Bombyx mori: one gene and its partner. The protein of the gene in region 2 purifies or fractionates together with the protein of the main gene of each other region. This does not show direct contact. Links are inferred from orthologs where the notes say so. Each region holds a gene or a part of one and is shown on either strand. Other genes may lie near its edges.

Region 1 (3,826 bases), on a different chromosome or scaffold from region 2:
AGTGAGTTATATAGAGGTTCGCTAGTGTGTGTAGGTGCACGCACCGTGTCCGGGCAGGGTCCGGGCGTGCTCGTGGTGGCGGGTCCCGGGCGAGGGCGGCAGGCTGGCGGAGTTCCGCGCGGGTTCCGCCACGCTGTCCACTTGGGCGCTCTGTTGACAATTCTAATTTTATAAAACTCATTTATCATTATATTTGTCCGCAAAGAATTCCGAAAAAAAAAAAATTCGATTAAAACAAAAAAAAAATCAGATTCTTACTTTGTTCCACCTTAACAAATAGGTTAATTTTAATTTTAATTTATGATCACATAATAATAATTATTTTTTTATAGCCCTTGTAGTGTTGGCAGACGAGAGTACGGCTCACCTGATGGTGAATGGTTACCATCACCCGTAGACTTCAGCAATGCCAGGGGTAAAGCCATGCCGCTGCCTACTATTTCTTTGTTGCACAGTTATTATATGTAAGCTCTATGTAGGCGGTGTACGTTAGCTTATCGACTCTATACTTCAGTGTTTGGTTGTTTATGCTACAGTATGTAGATATATGTCATTAAGATCAGGGTCCGTCCCCCATGTGTTTTTTTGCCATTTGCTTCATTGCTACATTATAAGACTGCACCGTATTAATTTTATGGCAAACGTCTGGAGCGAGAGGCTGACCTGGTTCGAGATGTAATTGAGGATGTCAGTGGCCATCTGCGCGACCCTGGGGTGCGGCTCCCGGGCCATGGCGCACAGCGTGGAGAACAGCCGGACCGGCACGGAGCCGAACCCGATGGCCGGCAGCGAGTAGTGGGGGGGCCGGGACCGACCTCCCGCCGCGCCCCCGCCGCCCCCCGCCAGCGCCTCCTGCCCCGCCTCCACGCGCCCGGACGGGCCACCCCTGTGCATATTAGGTATTTAGGTGAATTGGGTTATTAAGTGGTACATTTTTGAAATAAGTTTTAATTTTACCTGGTGGTAGGCCTTCTTGTGAGTCCGCTCGGGTAGGTACCACCACCCTGCCTATTTCTGCCGTGAAGCAGTAATGCGTTTCAGTTTGAAGGGCGGGGCAGCCGTTGTTACTATACTGAGACCTTACTTATATCTCAAGGTGGGTGGCGCATTTACGTTGTTGATGTCTTTGGGCTCCAGTAACTATTTAACAACCAGCTGGGTTGTGAGTTCGTCCACCCAGATAAGCAATAAAAAAATATAAAAAATTGTGCAATCTTCATATTAATTCTTACCTATCATTTCTTCTGACCCGTTCTTGTATGTAAACAGCGATGAAGTGTTGTTCAAATATTAACACCAGCCACTGTAATGCTGTAAAAAATAATTATTATTATAAAACTGTAGACTCAAACCTCTTCAAATCAAATAGAGAAGTTCTATTTGATTTAGAAATCTATACTAATATTATAAAGAGGAAAGATTTGTTTGTTTGTATTGAATAAGCTCCGGAACTACTGAATCGATTTGGAAAATTCTTTCACTGTTTGTAAGTTATACTATTCCCGAGTGACATAGGCAGACACGCGGGTACGTACCGGCCAGTATCTCTGCGCGCACGAGCGGGCTGGCGTCGAGCGGCAGGCGCGCGGCCAGCTGCACGCCCACCTGCAGGTCCAGCGCGTTGGCCTGCTCGCAGCGCCCGGCGCCGCCGCACCACCACACGAACGAGCCCAGCGCGAAGGCGCACGCCGCGCGGACCTGCCGCCGCAACATCGTCACATCAACTATTCTTTTTTTTTATTGCTTAAATGGGTGGACGAACTCACAGCCCAGCTGGTTGTTAAGTGGTTACTGGAGCCTATAGACATCTACAACGTAAATGCGCCACCCACCTTGAGATATGAGTTCTAAGGTTTCAAGTATAGTTACAATGGCTGCTCCACCCTTCAAACCGAAACGCATTACTGCTTCACAACAGAAATAGGCAGGGCGGTGGTACTTACTACCACCAGTAAATAAAACCAGTAATTACCACCAATAAAGTTCTTTTAAAACTTAATAAAGCCCCTTAATAAAACTTAATAAAAAAATAAAAATAAACTAATAGAAGGTAAAGAGAAATCGCTTACAGAGTCGAAAATGTTGCTGACAAACGAGCACGACTTGTAAAGCGTACAAAAGCACGTCGCGAGTTAGTACGCTTTACATTACAGGCCGACGAATATGAATATAAGCAAGCAATACTAGGACCCCGTCACAGTAGCACTGAAACTATTCATGTGATGTTTATAAGCCTTGTCAACCTTGTTCGTCACGTGGGCCGTGGGCTCGTCTACCCGGGCACACAATAGTGTAGGAGCATGGACAGCTGCTCCGTGACGGCCCCCTCGAGGGGGGTAACGTATCAGTACCTCAGGCTCAGAATGCTCAAGGAGCGGGAACAGTTTCTCGTGCGCGAGATCTCTGACTCCCGTCCATCGCGCCGCCTCGAACCCGCGCCACAGCCGGCCCAGGCTGATGCAGATCCACTGGGCCAGTACCGGCTCCCTGTCGCCGAGCTGCTCGAGGCATATCGATATCATTGAGCCCTGCCAATCGAAATTTTCATTTAGTTTCATTTCTTACGTACGTCTTGCAGCAGCTGACCGTAGATACACAACACATGCGATGCGGTCCGAGGGCTCACCTGCAGCGCGGCCTCCTGCCCCGCCGGGTAGCCGTCCACGATGCCAGCCAGCACGTAGGCGGCCAGGGTGCGGTGCTCGCTCTGCAGAAACGGAACTATTTCAATGGAAGATGATCCTGATTGAATGCTACGTGCATGGCCCTAGTGTCGCAGGCTATAAGATTGAAACAATTGGAAAGTGTAGTCCACGGGCTCTGATAGACAATCAATCCCATATGAACTATAAGCTCGTCTATCAATTTAGTGTATAGTGTACTTTTCAATCCCATTGTCTTGCGTACCCTCCCCCCCGCGCGGCGTGCACCTTGCTGCGGGTACTTACGTCGACTGTAGGGTCTTGCAGTACGGACAGGAAGTACGTGTGCCCTTTAGCGTTGACTAGGTCCGCTTGACAGCTCTGAAACAATTAATGATTAATTAAGTACAATTAAGAAATACCATTTCGTTTCGTTCTGCACTCAAAATATGTGTAAAAGCATTAATACCGTTTAATTTGCATTTACACTATTTGATTCGCTGAAATTGCCAGCACTTGTTTTTTTGGCCGAGGGAATATAAAATGAACGAAATGTATAAGTAATACAAACCGGATCGACCGCGATGATCCTGGCCCAGATGTAGACCATGGAGGCGCGCAGCACCGGCGCGGAGGCCTGCAGCAGCTTGAGCATGTAGGGGAATATCCCGACGGCCAGCATGGCGCGCACCGCCCACGCGCCCAGCGCCAGGAACCGGCACAGCAGCTGCAGCGCGCGCACCCGGTGCAGCGTGCTCAGCAGCACCTGCAGCACCATCGGCAGCTGCTCCGGCACGCCGCGCCCGCCGCACCCTGCAGCGCACTCTCCCTCACTCTCTCTCTCGCTCCCTCTCCCTCCCTCCCCTAAACTACACTATACCAGTCATAGACAACGGCCTGGCTATTGCTGACCATGAGCACCGGTAACCACTCACCATCAAGTGAGCCGTATTATACTCGCTTGCGGTATTATTTTGGGATTGTTTACAGGCCCCGCAGGCCGGCCCGCCCCCGCGAGCTGCTGTCCATGCGCTACCAAGTGCTGCCGGTTACCACGGTTTCTAGTAAGCACTCACATTTACCGAGATCTAGCCAGACTTGGAAGGCGGTGAGCTGATCCCTGAAGAACGGCGAGTGGGAGTAATCCAGCGGATGTGGAGCCGAAGATAACGTGACCAGCTGGG
Region 2 (3,826 bases):
CCGTCGACCATAGATTTCAGTAATGCTAGGGGCAGAGCCAAGCCGCTGCCTACCGTTAAGTACTTTCCACAAGCCTCGTTTGAAGAAGGATATGTCATAGCGCTCGGAAAACACCGTGTAGGGGAACTCATTCCAAAGCCGGATGGTACGTGGCAAAAAAGATCTCTGGAAACGCACTGTGGATGAACGCAGTGGCTCCAGGTAGTACGGATGAACTCTACTCCGGTGGCGGGCGGTTCGATGGTATCGTTTCGAACAATTCCTCAGAGCACTCCCGAACCTCACCTTATGCTTCAGCATCAACTTCTGGTAATCCGAGGCCATCCTCAACATGATCTGCTGTTCCGTGTTCAGCGCCGTTTTGTTCGTCTTTTTATCGCGAAATTCGCTGATTAGATTGTAGAGAGTGTCGCAGTGCGGGACCCAGCCGATGAGTCCGGAGTTGGGGGAGAGCGGTATGACCGCGTATCTCTGTATGGCGAGGTCGTGTCGGTACGTGTCGGCGTCGGCCCGCAGCAGAGCGTTGACCAATCCGAAGAGCTGCATCACGCGCTCGTCCTGCCGCAGGTCCTCGTGGCCCTTCAGCAGGAACATGTACTGTTTGCCGTCAGAGCCCTGTATGGTCAGACGTCTCGGACGCTGCTTCGACTTGATTACCTGACACAAAAGAATAAGGTTCAAGCAAATTTTAATACGCTTTTATTACCTTCAGACGTGTGTATGTTTGTAACGGAATCTTTGAACATGATTTTGACCCCCTTCAAAACGTCCGATTAACTCGAAATTTGGTATACTTAATAAAAAAATTGAAAAAATTGAAATTCAGCTAAAAAATTAAAAATAAATAATAATTTAAAAAAAAACCAACAAAATACGCTTTTATAGATAATCCAACTAAAAAATAGAAAATAAACTTGAATAAAAAATAGTGTAGAAAAAAATGATTTTATTGTATTATAAAAAAAGGGTATATTTAAAAACACATTTAGTTTGACTTTCGTAAGTTCAAGAACACGGAAACTACCAAGTCTTTGAAACGTAGGAAATGTTTTTTTATTTATTGCTTAGATGGACGTGTGTGAGGCTTAAACAACGAAAGGAAGATCTTCCACCAAGCAGGTGATATTGTTCGGTAGACCGACGGTCCAAATGTTGTTGTTCGGAACTTGTATATTATTATATTCAAGCTTCTTGTCGTAAGCGAGATTCAGGCATCGGTCAAATATCTTGTATTGTATGATGGCTACCCGCCACAGACGGATGGATGAGCTCACAGCCCACCTGGCGTTAAGTGGTTACTGGAGCCCATAGACGTCTACAATGTAAATGCAAACACCCACCATGAGATAAGAGTTCAAAGGTCTCAGTATAGTTACAACGGCTGCCCCACCCTTCAAACCGAAACGCATTACTGCTTCACGGCAGAAATAGGCAGGGTGGTGGTTGGTACCGAGTAGGTACTCGTGTGAGCTCCCGTGATATAACAATATAGAAGTAAGATCAAATAGACAATAAAATATTTATTATAAAAAAAAAGAACACAATTCCTAACCTAAAAGTACATGTTATTATCCATAATATCAAATTATGTTCTGATAATTATTACCTGTCATTGCTAATTGAATATTAATTTGTCAATCACAAAATTGTGCAATCGAATCTGAATATGAAGAGAATTTAAAATGCTATAACGCCCTAATTAAGTTATCACAATTCAATAGAACGTCAAAGCTTAAAGCTCTTCTAAAATTACTATTTAGTTGATGGTTAACGATACATATATTTACGCAAAATCTTAATCAAAAAATTTTTAAAATTCGAAATTCTTGCAAAGTAACTTAGAGAGAGAGAGAGAATACTCTTTATTGCACACCAAAACACAATTTACATTAAAAAAGCAGATACATTTGTACAATAGGCGGTCTTATCGCTAAAAGCGATCTCTTGCAGACAACCGTTTAATTTACAGAAATTCTGGAAAATATAAAAATATAGCAGGTATGTTGCGGTGTACCATAGACAATATATACATACAATTAACAGATATATACCGTTTACATAATATGTATTATATTATAATATAATATATACCAATATACATACTTAGACAATCTGAAATGAAAAACTAACTCACTTTTCGCCTGCGCTATAGTTTTTTAGGCGAAACGGCTATCAGTGTTGATGATACTAATTCGCAACTAAATTCGTACCTGCAAATTGCTGTGTATGTACGAGATGTTAATTATTTTCTGATTAGGCACGTACGAGCCCGGGACGGCCAGCTCCAGGTCCTTGCACGAATGCAAACGTTTGCTGACGTACTGCAGCTCCAGTGACGTCAGCGACCGGAACTGGGCTTGGATGCGCCGCACCACGTGGTAGTACAGATCCCACGCTTCGTTCAGGTACCTCTCTTCGTTGCTCTCCTGTATTAATAAATAATACTTAATATATAAACTCAATGTTGAAAAAAAAATGGCGGATAGAAAGCGATTGCATGCAGCAGAGATGCTAATGTTGCGATGCATGTTTTTTTTTTATGATTGAAGTATTACTGGTGGCCCGGAGGCCGTTCCAGTTTCGCCAGGACAGGTGGGCGACCAAAGGCTCAGCCAGAAGGGGTGGCATTTGCTAACAGCCACCCGAGCGCCTCCGAAGGAGACCTAGGAACTCAAGAGCAATTGCTTCGCGAATGAATCTACTACCGGATCGGAATCGCGACCCGCTGAGAAGATCCGGCGAGAAACTCAGCGGGCTGATGCATGGGTTAGGTTGCACGTCGACCTCTTTGTCGAGTTCGGCGAGTACGGTTACCGGGGTTCCTCAGCCTGCTCTTAGTGTTAGAGCTGAAGGTACCTAATGCAAGAGTTATTGGATCTGACGTGTCTAGGGCGACGACGGTGACTTGCTCCTGCGTGATTAGGATTCGGGGAGCGAGGGATGTGTAGTAACGAGAATGGATAGAATACAGAATGAATATATTAGAGGAAGTCTGAAAGTGGCCCCTGTGACAGAGAAGTTGAAAAGTGCGCGTTTGGGATGGGTATGGACATGTGATGAGAGAGTGTTAACTATGAATGTGGAAGGATATAGAGGAAGAGGTAGACCTAAGAAGAAATGGATGATCCATTTTTTCTCACATATATGTGTAAGAGGGGAGCGAGCGAAGAAATGGTATATGATAGAAGAGTATGGAAGGAGAAAACATGTTACGTCGACCCCAGGTGACTGGGAGAATGGTAGACAAATGATGATGATGATATCAACTTGAATCTTTCAAGTACTTTTCATCATTGAAGGATTACTGGTGGCCCCGATGCTTTTCCAGTTACACCAGAGAGAGAGGTAGCAAAGATATTGGTTAAATAATACATTATAATGTTTAAACCAGGGTTATGAGACCTTATGCCTGTAACAAGTTTACCTTGTATAACTCGCACCAGCGCCGCGCCTCCTGTAGATCGCGTCCATACATCTGCAGGAATGAGACTTCCTTCAACGTCTCCGGAGGGGTATCCAGCATTGCGTGCATTTTGTCCAAAGTTTTAAACATTCTCTTATAATCTTTCTCGCTGAAACAAAACCTGAAATCATCGCCGGAGATTAGTTGTTCAATATTTGGTATATTTATCTAAAATTATCTGTACCCAACAAACCTTGACGCTTCATCGAGTGCTATGTAAACTTGATCGTGCCACAGTATTGCCACTTTGATCAACTCTTCCGAAATAATAGCGGCTTCGTTCACCAGATTCTGTGCATGAATGCACATAGTTTTCAATACGTAGTTGGCGGCGTTTTTCCTGGTCACGAACGATGACTTCGT

Evidence for each region.
Region 1: the proteins of TOR1 (region 2) and rptor purify together in Drosophila melanogaster (affinity purification with western blotting; 3 studies listed by BioGRID, with this or other methods). This does not show direct contact. The link is inferred for Bombyx mori from reciprocal best matches to the Drosophila melanogaster genes mTor and raptor.

What each region holds. Positions count from the first base shown.
Region 1 is NC_085123.1:798,161-801,986, reverse strand, and holds part of rptor (regulatory-associated protein of TOR), read right to left. Parts: coding exon 3,719-3,826; intron 3,456-3,718; coding exon 3,214-3,455; intron 3,024-3,213; coding exon 2,949-3,023; intron 2,708-2,948; coding exon 2,627-2,707; intron 2,529-2,626; coding exon 2,352-2,528; intron 1,699-2,351; coding exon 1,536-1,698; intron 1,312-1,535; coding exon 1,233-1,311; intron 887-1,232; coding exon 664-886; intron 151-663; coding exon 45-150; intron 1-44.
Region 2 is NC_085109.1:10,799,378-10,803,203, forward strand, and holds part of TOR1 (target of rapamycin), read right to left. Parts: coding exon 3,657-3,826; intron 3,585-3,656; coding exon 3,425-3,584; intron 2,427-3,424; coding exon 2,211-2,426; intron 658-2,210; coding exon 286-657; intron 1-285. UniProt on the Drosophila melanogaster protein: Promotes cell and tissue growth, maintains tissue homeostatis and controls responses to environmental stress and aging. Regulates growth during animal development by coupling growth factor signaling to nutrient availability. Central regulators of autophagy.